Linked DNA regions of Kluyveromyces lactis. The protein of the gene in region 1 purifies or fractionates together with the protein of each later gene. This does not show direct contact. Links are inferred from orthologs where the notes say so. Each region holds a gene or a part of one and is shown on either strand. Other genes may lie near its edges.

Region 1 (5,729 bases):
GAAATTATAAAAGCGGTATTCCTTTGAAGGTTGAAGTAATCATTATTTAAGTCTATTAGTTACAAATTTGTATATTATGCTAATATAAGCGATGTAGTACTGCATCTATAATGGAAAAAATGGGAACGGTATATTGTTGTTCTGAGCTTATAGAATTGTTTTCTTCCGTTGGAAATGTTGAATCTTGATTTCACATTGTTCCCATAGTATAAACAGCGAAAGATCTTTGTAGTTGGCGACGTACACTAATCTTTTGTGCACCCACAAAACTGTCCACTGTTACTTTAATTGCTCTGTCTAAATCCCATGAGGAAACGAATTCTGATAATCTCATTTTCGCGAAGGCTTCAGCAATTCTTAAGATAGATTCCAAATGACGAACGGTGATCGGGAATGAACCAGTAGTGACACTCTCTCGTCTCAAATCAGCATAAACCCTACTCACTTTGTCCATATCCATTTGATGTAACTTAGGGTAAACTTTAGTTCTTGCGTAATGAATATACTTCATTAGCATATGCTGAGATATGGGCGAAATTTCTTCTTCTCTTTTACGAAGGTTCTGCAAGCGTCTTTGTTTGGCAGATAACGGAGTTTCTTCATCACCCTCCCCATTAGGATTTTCCGTTGGAACGTTACCATCATCAAAATCATCCAGATCCTTGTCTGGATGAGACCTGATATGTGAATCAACGACGAAAGATGCTAGCCGATTATCACTTTCTTCATCAACCAAATCTCTTACCACGCAGAGGATATCGAATCTTGACAAAATTGGTTCAGTCAAATTGACATTTTGTGATAACGGAAGAGTAGAGTTGTAACGACCACCGATCGGGTTGGCGGCAGCTAAAATAGAGCATCTGGCTTGTAACGTGGTAACGATACCTGCCTTAGAGATGGATATACTTTGCTGTTCCATTGCTTCGTGAATAGAAGTACGATCCTGATCGTTCATCTTATCGAATTCATCAATCAAACAAACACCCTTATCCGCAAGCACTAACGCACCACCTTCAAGAGTCCACTCTTTAGTTATTTGGTCCTTCCTGACAGAAGCTGTCAAACCGACTGCAGAAGCACCTTGACCTGTAGCGAAGACAGCTCTGTTGGCAGTTTTTTCCACGTATTTCAAAATTTGGGACTTGGCAGTACCTGGATCACCGAGAAGTAGAATGTTTATGTCACCACGGATGGAATGCTTACCGTTAATGTTTTTAGGAACACCTCCGAATAAAGAACATGCAATTGCTGTCTTGATATCCCTGTGCCCATAAATAGATGGAGCCATTGATGAAATGATTTTATCGATGATTCCTCTGTCACGAGACATCTTTCTGAATTCACGCTCTTCGTCTTCTGTCCAACTGAAGGCATCCAGCCCTTCGTGTTCATCACCATCATGCAATCCGCCTTCTCTTCTCTTCACTGAATTGGCTTCCAGTACTGTTGCGAAAACGGGGAACCCGTTCTTTGCATTCAAATTACCGTCATATGTGTTCTTATAGATTCCTGTCACTTCGACTTCTTCACCAGGTTTTGCGATATCAACCAAGTCCCACAACAAAATGACTTCTCTGTGACGTGGTAATCTACCGGCTGGAACAGACCCTGGTGATTCTTGGATGGTGATTCTTTGGTAATTACGGTACAGAGTTTTTTCCATATTAATTCTGAAGGGACCCTTAGATCTACAATTTGTGCAGAACGAGATTTTAATTTCTTCATTTGAATCCTGATAGTAAGGCCCAAGTGTGGCACCACATTTCAAACAGTTGAATTTAACGTATTTAAGTTGTGGGAAGACACCAGTTCTTCTTGTCACGACACCACTAACTCTAACTAAAGAATTCAAATGAGTTTCACGTAAAGCACGTAAGTTCAATATACTAGGGAAATCCGAGATTCTTACGTGAATTTCCGAGTGAATACGAGTATAATCGGGATAGTGTAGTTGTGTAGCTTCCATAGCCACTGTATCAAATATTTTCAACATTTCTTCGGGAGATTTGGCTAAAAATAGGGCTAGAATGGCCTTGGATTCTACCAAATGTCTATAATTAACTTCCAAGGATTCAGAGTTCATTTCACCGAGAGTTCTGATACGAGCACCGTAAACGGATTTACCTGACTCATCAGTATATTCAAGCAAAAACGATTTCAACTCTCTGGCAATAGTACGTGATACATTCGGTTGAGTGATCCATTCAGAATAACTTGATGCCTTCACATCTGCCAAAGATTCCAACGAGAGCTCATCTGCCAACGGATCTATATCCATATCTGATAACAAATCATCATCTGCTTCTTCGTATTGACGTCTTCTACGTCTCCTCTGTACTGGAAGACCCATAGCATCCAAATTATGCGCACCAGCTCCTTCGCCATCATCATCATCAAGGTATGCTGTGTTCCTATGCACCAAACGATCTCTCTCGTTCAATTGTGCATCGATTCTTCTACGCTCAGCGAGCGACAACTCTTGCTGCTCCTGGTCGTCGACTCCTCTTCTTTCATACGTATCATGTTCTGTGTTTGAAGCGTAATCACGGTACATATCATCACCCATCAAATCGACTTCATTCATTCTTTCTTCCACATCTTCAAGATCCTCTTGAACATTGACAGCTTCATCTCCATCGTTATCTGGATTCTCAAAATCTATCTCATCTGGAGATCCAAGCGGGTCTTCAAACTGTGGAGAACTAGGGATGTTAGCGCCACCTTCACGGGGTTGTGTAGACAAAGAATCATCCTCATCCTCATCATCATCAGCTCTTCTTCTTCTCCTCCTTCCGTTATTTATTTCATCATTATCAGACATCTTGAAACACTTTCAAAAACAGCAATTAATAATCTTCAATTATCGCACTACCAAATCCGATCACACAATTGTCTTCCTGATGCTTCGATGACCTACTTGTTACACTTTGTTTCAGACCATTGGGATCTAAAGCTATCTTAAGATCTTAACGTTTTTTCCGGCTTTTTTCTTCAGTTGAATGTACGAAAATGATCTTTAATTGAAACAATAACATTTCCTAAAATGGTGTTTTGCAACGATCTGACCATTGTAGAGCGTTGGGGCTAATAATACAGCAATGGCAATATTCCAATAACACCAATCGGTAGTTCTCACCTCTTTTAGCTTTGCAATCTACATTTGATTAGTATAATTTCTTTATTATGATGCGTGGATCACGTGATAATCACATGGGATCATACGCTTAAAAACCGTACTTATAGCTCCAATCACACGATGAAGCAACACAATTGCAGGTAAAGTATGGATGTTGAAGCTCTGGAATGATGTGATGCATTTTGTGCCCCATATTAGATCGATTTCCATCCGGTAACCGTCCAAATGTGTCGATATTGACGTAAAATCATACGGAATATTGATTCATCGACATGGAAAATCTCTTACTATCAATGAAATATCCCCAAATTTAAACATAAGGAACACGTCAAGTTAAAGGCAAAAAGGGTACCTTCATTCACGCATTTCTTACTACAAGGTGAGTTCTGGCACTTAAAGATAGTCTTGTTGGTGTTAGGGAATGAGCGAGATTAGCGTTAAAGAATATGTGAAGCGACAGGAGGAACTGGAAGATGAAGCAAATAAACTGATGCCATATGATCCAAGCCATTGCACTTATTCCATGGGCCCAATTCGACAGCCAATATTCGCATGTCGTACTTGCAACAGTATAGGAGTGTGCTATTCATGCTCTATTCAGTGTCACAGTACCTGTGACTTGGTGGAACTTTTCGATAAGAGGAATTTCAGTTGCGATTGCGGTACAGAAAGGCAGTTTGAACACGGTGAGAAGTTCACACCTTGTAATATAAGAAAGAATACTACACCAGATATACCAGACATGAGTAACAGGTATGGCCAGAATTTCAAAGGGTTATTTTGCTCTTGCCATAGAGAGTATGACCCGAATACAACGACAACGATGTTACAATGCGTCCTTGGCTTGGAGTGCAATGAGGACTGGTTTCATGATCACTGCATTCTAGGGATAGAAGAAAACCCAGACCCGGTTACAGAAGACAGAAAGCTACCAGGATTCCCTGAACTGTCAAGTTTCGAAGGATTTATCTCATGGGTTTGTATTGACAAGTACAGCTCGATATTTGAAAAGCTTTTATCACACGAAGCGTGTGATAAAATCATAGCACATAAAGTGTACAGGAGAGATCTGGTATCGGATCAGAACTCCGAGGGAATGACATTGGAAAGTACCAAGAAAAGAGGGCTAGAAGAAATGGAAAACTCTTCGGGTTCATATTCATTATTCTTGAAAGAAGGATATAGGGAAGAATTTAAACGATTAAGGGATTCACTTCCAGAAGGTGACTCCTTGAAAAGCTTTTTCATGCACACAGCACCATTCCTCACTTGTGAAGAGAAAGTTTATGAACCCCCGGAGGAACAAGAGCAAGGATCTCTTGTAGAAATGGGAGAAACGGCCCTAGCTCAAAACTTGTCTCATCAGCAAACTCTAGCCAGTCTAGTCGCTTTCCAGCAAATAAAATCAAAACTAACAGATTTCCTACGACCATTTGCGGAAAACGATAAGGTCGTTAGTGAATCTGATATCAAGCAGTTTTTTGATACTCAGAAAAAATGAACTCTTGTTACGACATTTAATCATCATAAACTTTAAATGTGGATATGTTATATACATTGCTACATTTAGAAGAATTTATTGTCAATAAGAGGGATATCTCGAGCTTCTACTCTAAACTTTTCATTTACACATGTATGTATTCAAAAAGGTGTTAGTTTTATATAACATATGAGATAACTTGCATATCCGAATAGACTTCATTTTAGTAGATATAAGAGTTTTTCAAAGTGAATTGTCTATGGTGCCACAATGATGGCCTTCAATTCAGTGTAATCATCGATACCATACTTAGAACCTTCTTTACCTAAACCTGAATTCTTAACACCACCGAAAGGTACTGCAGGTTCACTGATTTCTCCAGTGTTGACACCAACCATACCAACATTTAGTTTCTCTGCGGCATCAAAAATGGTGCTAATATTTTGACTGTAGAAGTAGCCTGCTAAACCGACATCCGTGTCATTAGCACGTTTGATGACTTCATCCACATCCTTAAACTTAATTAATGGAGCAACAGGTCCAAAGATTTCTTCATAAAATATATCCATGGACTCGGTTACATTACCAAGTACTGTTGGTTGGTAGAATAATGGACCTAAAGAACTAGCTCTTGAGCCACCTATCAAGACGTCTGCTCCCTTCGTTTTTGCATCCTGAACTAAAGATGCGACTTTGTCAATGGATTTGTCATGGATCAATGGACCGTGAGTGACACCGTCTTGGAACCCATCGCCTAATTTAAAGGTTTTGTCGATCTTATCAACCAACCTCTTACTGAATTCATCGTAAAGATCTTCATGCACAAAGATTCTGTTTGCACAGATACAAGTTTGTCCGGATTGTCTGAATTTACATCCGATTATTCCATCTAAGGCACGGTCTAAGTCAGCGTCCTTGAAGACGATATATGGTGCATTACCCCCCAATTCCATAGAGAATTTCTTGATATTCTTTCCCTTGCTTGATTGTCCCATTAACAATTGACCGATTTTAGTTGAGCCAGTGAAAGTGATCTTCTTGACCAATTCATGTTCGCAAACGTATTCACCTATTTCACTTGTGTGATTAGTTGGTAAGATATTGCATACA
Region 2 (6,104 bases), on another chromosome or scaffold:
GATTCACATAGAGGTGCCACGAGAATAGCCAATGCTGAAATGTGGATGAAATCTAAAGAAGCATACTTACAATACACAAGAAAAGAACTCGATACTTCGGCAAAAGTCATTAAAACCACCATAGAAGATCTTTCCAAGAGATGAAAGTCATTATTTTGCTACCCTTTGTTGTCTGTCCCAACGCATTCGATCAATAATCATCAGCGCCAGGCATACCTTCAAAAATCTGACCATACATTCGGAATCTCGATCCACAAAATGAGATTACGAATCATCCGGGTTCAAGGCAATAACACAGAAGAAACGAAACGGCATCATGCAGACATAACAACTCATCTTGTTACATCCTTCCAATTTTTATACGATTGTTTCATATTTCGGACATTACTGCATATTCAAGTCCTTTTCCGGCAGGACTAATTCCAACATTTGTTTCGCTAAATACGCATCTACTTCAAATTCCATTGTTCTTCAGCAGAATTTCATTATTTCGAGCCGCTTTTTTGTTCTAGAGGCACAGTTTCATCTGCATATTCTTCCAAAAATGCTACCGTTATCGCCTTTGGTATTCCACATTGGTTGTGTTTGCCGTGCCATGCGTGCAAACAATTAGAACAAAACACTATATCATACGCCTTACAGCGTACAATGTTTCATCCAACGTATCATTAACACACCGAGCATCTCACCTAGAATATATATCACATGAATAAGGATTGTACTGGTATATTTCAACAAGGCACCTGGCTTGTGCAACGTTCCGTAGCTAATAATGTCAGCATCAGTTAATATAATCCTTCGAAGAAACCGTAGGGAAGAGCGGGAGCAAACAATGCATCTTCCAAACTATCAAATTTATCAAAAGCACTAAGGTCGATAGGATTATATGAGCATTCAGGACATCATACATTTTCAATTCTTTCCTCATCAATCATAGTATGATAAAATTCCTTCAGGCTTTCTCCACACAACAAGGCTTAGTACAGGGAAGTTTTACCATTTTAGAACCTTTTCTCTATTCAATACAAATGCAACAGTTGAAGTTCGGTCATTTCATACAACGAGATCCCTGCTCACCTTTGATGTTCAGAGAAGTATCTCACTGGTTAGCATCATGACTGGTATAGATGTTTTCTTCGCTGGTCAAAGTCGAAAGAGCAGCATGTGACAACTATCAGGAATAATTTAAACCAATGGAATTTTGTCTTCAACACACGTTTTACCAAACTCGCTTGCCATGTATTTATCTATATTTGTCATGTCATCCTGAGTCATTCATGCTGAGTTCAAAGTCAATTCCGACCCTTCATTGTCGTTTAGCTATGAATCTTTTCTTATAGTGAAAAAGAAACTATTCCCGGACAATTCGTCAACTCCAGGAATCTCTATGATATATTCTATAGTTAAGGTACCGTCTGTAGCTATCATACTAATATCTAATATACCTCGAATGTATGAAGCGAGTTATCTTGGATCAAAATTTCTTTGTGCATTCATTTCATCATTCTAGTTCTTGATTTAAGGATCTTTCACCAGAAGTCATAGAATAACTCTTACAGAACCATTAAATGATTGAAGCATGAAAAAAGCAGTCGATACTTTTACGGGCTTAGCAAAATTATCCTTCTCTCAACCCTTTGAAGTTTAGTTCTCTGGATGGGACCCTTATTCTTTTGTCAAGCCATTTAGATGTACTAAAAATTAAAGAACTAGTCAATCAAACAAAAGAAAGACACATTATTCGACAAATACCGCGAGGAGTGTATATAGTTTTTTATTTATTTATTTGTACTAATACATGATATATGAGTTTTTCATTCCAACTTGGCTTTCTTGGAAGGTCTTTCAGACTTTGAGGTTTCACCTTCTGAATCGGAGGCGGATGCTTCTGAATCAAATTCTTCAGCGACATCGTCATCTTCGTCGGACGCATGGAAATCTTCATCTACAGATTCTTCATCCTCACCTGCAGAACCCATGTTAATATCTACATCATCATCATCGCTGTCTGAGCCGAAGGCAGTCTGCAGTCTCTGTTCTGCTTCCTTATCTTCGTTCTTTACCCTCAAGTTTTTGGACCTCAAGAATGTCTCTAGAAGTTGTTGTTCCTCTTTAGAAATATTAGCAAAAGTAGTAGTACCTCTATTGGCACGCATAACAACTTCCAAATCGAATGTTCTGGCTGATGTAGATGTCTGACCAGCTCTTGAAATATTGACCGCAGCAATATCTTGGAAGGGTATATATAGGGTTGGTTTCGTCAAGAACAAAAACGCATTGTCCAATGGGTATAAGTGGCCTTCATTGACTTTGTATGAACAGGATACCGCGCATTGGTCATACTTAGACTTGTATTCACCAGGAACAATGACTCTTCTTCCTGTCAAACCCTTTAAGACATGACTTAGTACAATGTGAGTTTTAGCATCGTATTGTTTCTTTAGTTTATCCTTGTAAAGCTTTTCGAACTCATCATCTTCCACATTTAGTTGGACTTCTGTTTCCTCGTCCTTCTGGAATTGTAACACCAAGAATGGGTAGGATGTCTGACCTTGACGGATTGGTGGATCAATCGATAAAACCATCAAGTAATGGATGTCGTCAGCTTTTGGCAAAGAGAAGATTCTGTTTATTTGACGATGTTGTAACTTGTACTCATAAGTCTTACCTCTAAGTCTGATAGAGTTTTTGTAGATATCAATGTCGTAACGGCCTCTTGGCGTAGTGAAGAACAGATCCTGGAAAGAAATGATGGCATCACCAGAAATTTCACCGATATCTGCCTTAGATCTCAATTCTTCGTAGAAATATTCTGCTAAAGTCTTCTCTTCTTGAACGTCTGGTTCTTCACTACCCTCTTCCGTCTTAACCTCCGACTTAACACCGTCTTCTGCTTCTGCTTCGTCCTTTACCATGATTTGATCTTGATCTTCATTTTCTTCAACTGTGCCTGGAACATATAACCTCATTTCAACAAGTTCATCACCTGCAGGATTATATGCCTCATTTTGGGTGTCAAATTCTAATGCAATCTCATTTTTTGCTGTTAAATTAGTGTTATTGATGTGCGTGTAAGGGATTTCAAAAGTTGGCTTACCGTTCAATGAAAAAACCATTTCGTTTCTAGCTAAGTCCAATTTACCCCAATTCCAACCACGTAAAGAATGTTCCCTGTGCTCTAATTGCATGTTGAATCTACGTTGGAAGTCATTCTTCAATAGGTTGAAATCCTCTTGTTGGAACCCATCCATTTGAATCAATCCCTTATTCTTAGTACTAATTTTCAATTCGTAGCCTCTACATCCTCTACTCCATTGAACGGAAGAAACCTCATCTGCAGCCAATAGCAAAGGTTCATTATTTTGAGTAGAGGCTGACCCACCTGTAGCGGATGCCTTCCAACCAAGACCTCCTTCAGCTAGACGGAAACGTCCACCGAGCTTGGATTGGTTGTAATAAATTCTATCGAAATCTGTACTCATTCTCCACTATCCCAATATAAGAAATAAAAAGTAGGTATCCAAGACGAAGATCACTAGATTTCAGTAATACTGACCTGTCTAACGTAAACTATGGGCTAACAACTCTGCCTACCGTTAACGGTTTCATATGTCTTCTTATTTGTTCATGTTTTAACAACATCTTAAACACTTTGGCGATTTTTCATTTTCATTTCTAGTAAAGTTTCCAATTCGCGTCACGTTGACAAGAGGTAAGATGGGGGAGTGAACGGAAAAGAGACAGTTTTTACACACGAAGAACTATCAGGTCGAGGCCCACCCCCCTGTTGCCGGAGGAACAATGTATGATACTGCAATTACCGCTAGGTCATAAATTTGGTTAATGTAGGAAGCTGTATATAGTTTGTTATAAAATAATAACTAGGTGGAAAGAATAAAGGAGGCAGCTCATTTGAAAATGAATCTACAATTTGGAATCAACACCCCTGAGGAATTCGACCAAACCGATAGCTCCTGGGTCCGGAATTGCTTCAGTGTCTTCCACGTAAGATGCACGGCCGAACTTGGCTTCTAAGTTTCCTGTAGATTCTGCACCTCCTTCCGCCTTGGAAAAGGCCTTATGGAAGTCCTGAGTTGAACTAAACTCTTTCACGAATGGCTCCAAGGCATCGATCATAGTAGAATCACCTGGCCTAGCTCTAGTATATTTACACAATGTCTCGTATGCAACTTCTAGCGATTTGGCGAAGGCTTCTTTGTCCACCGCATCATTTTCTCCGCATTGTTCAATAATTCCTTTTGAAAGGCCCGAAATGAATATAGAGTACAAACCACCGGATGTACCACCCATTGCGGATTCAATATGATCAGAAATTTCTGCAAGGGTCTGAGACAAATACTTGGAGGATATTTTATCCAAGTTTTCAGTGATTGCCTTAGCGCCAGCTACTAACGTATAACCACAGTCACCGTCACCAACTTGGTTATCCAAATGTGTAATATGAGGTTCACTTTTAATCAATTGATCGGCACCTGCCTTCAACAGCTCCGATAATTTCTCGAAGTCGTATGTTCCAGCCTTTTTAACGTCAATAACATCCTCGAGAATACCCTCGTCATATGTAGGAGATTTACCCATTTCGACATCTTTTATTGGCCATGCTGGCGCCTCTGTATGGTCGTTTAATAAGTCAAGCACAGATTTTACTTCGCTGAACTCCTTCTTGATAGCTCCAGATGACTTTGACGCATTGAACAACGTGATACTGAATCCATTTCCATTGAAAGATGTCATTAAAGTTCCGCAAATACTTTGAACTGGAGTAATGTCATAATTCTTTTGTAAAAAAGATTTCGTGATATCAACGATGGCAGTTAAGATGAAGTTAGACACACCACCTAAATTGTTGACAAGGAGAACTACCTCGTCTTTTTTATCAAAAGATACAAAATGTCTGTCTTCATCCTCTGAATCAAGTAACTTGGGTAGCATATATTTCTCAATCAACTGCTCCAAAGGTGGAATGCTGTCCAAGACTTGAACACCTGGTTCATTATGGATACCCATACCGACTTCCATTTGCTTTTCATTTAATTCCGTCTCAAATGGTCTTCCTGGTACCTTACAATGATCTAATGATGAGCCAATCGTAACTAGATTTTCATTGATGACTTGAGCTACCTTGCTGACACCATCGAGACCATACTTGCCTGAATACTTCTCAGCAAATGCACCGACAATTTTATGAACCAAGGTAGTTCCTGCTAGAGCTCTTCTACCGACTAACCCACCTTTGTTACGACCAACAGCAACGTCATCTCCAATAACAGCAACAGAGCAATTAATTCCAAGGGCTCTGGCCCTTTCAGCAGCCAAACCGAAATGTAATACATCGCCCGTATAGTTCTTAACAATTAATAGAACTCCGTTACTGTTCTTCGAAACAATTTTAATAGCATTTAAGATCTGTTTGGTTGATGGAGATGCAAAGATATCACCACATACAGCAGCACTCAAACATCCTTTACCGACAAAACCAGCATGGGTAGGCTCGTGACCGCAACCGCCACCAGAAATTAAAGCTACCTTGTCTTTTTCGGTGTTTCGGAAGATGATCTTCTCTTTCAAGATCAACTCAACATTGGGATTAGTGTCTGCAAAACCTTTCAAGCTAGCAGTTAATGGATCGGAAAGTTCAAAGGATTTGATTTCGACAGACATTTTTACACCGGATTATAATATCTTGGAGTTTGATATTCTTCTTATGATTCACAGAAAAACACTTTCTTACCTATCAGGTACTACACTCTAATTCAATGATGGTGAGGATTTGTATAAACTATTCACGAACTGTCTGTTTATATACTTCAGGAATGTGCAAAAGGAACCTACTGATCAAATGCCATCTATTTATTCCCTTAAAACTTAACAAACGTCACAGTCACATGATCACACACTAAATTCTAATAGATATGCGGTGCTAATACAAACATTTTGCTATTGAGGTAGAAACAAATTTACGATAATGTAGAGGTTTCCGGATGAAGGTATATCCGGTTACTCAAATATGTTCCATTGTAGTGCATTGTACTGGAAAGTAGCCGATTTTATTGGTACGTAGTGATTGTCCGTACCACCAGACT

Evidence for each region.
Region 2: the proteins of MCM2 (region 1) and POB3 purify together in Saccharomyces cerevisiae (affinity purification with mass spectrometry; 3 studies listed by BioGRID, with this or other methods). This does not show direct contact. The link is inferred for Kluyveromyces lactis from reciprocal best matches to the Saccharomyces cerevisiae genes MCM2 and POB3.

The regions. Positions count from the first base shown.
Region 1 is NC_006042.1:1,165,520-1,171,248, forward strand, and holds MCM2 (MCM DNA helicase complex subunit MCM2), read right to left. Parts: upstream 2,825-5,729; coding exon 191-2,824; downstream 1-190. Other genes in the region: KLLA0_F12606g (uncharacterized protein), read left to right, coding at 3,561-4,640; KLLA0_F12628g (NAD-dependent succinate-semialdehyde dehydrogenase), read right to left, coding at 4,877-5,729. UniProt on the Saccharomyces cerevisiae protein: Acts as a component of the MCM2-7 complex (MCM complex) which is the putative replicative helicase essential for 'once per cell cycle' DNA replication initiation and elongation in eukaryotic cells.
Region 2 is NC_006038.1:443,510-449,613, reverse strand, and holds POB3 (FACT complex subunit POB3), read right to left. Parts: upstream 3,483-6,104; coding exon 1,815-3,482; downstream 1-1,814. Other genes in the region: GMC2 (Gmc2p), read left to right, coding at 1-144; DAK1 (dihydroxyacetone kinase), read right to left, coding at 3,925-5,682; KLLA0_B04862g (BAR and SH3 domain-containing protein), read right to left, coding at 6,023-6,104. UniProt on the Saccharomyces cerevisiae protein: Component of the FACT complex, a general chromatin factor that acts to reorganize nucleosomes. The FACT complex is involved in multiple processes that require DNA as a template such as mRNA elongation, DNA replication and DNA repair.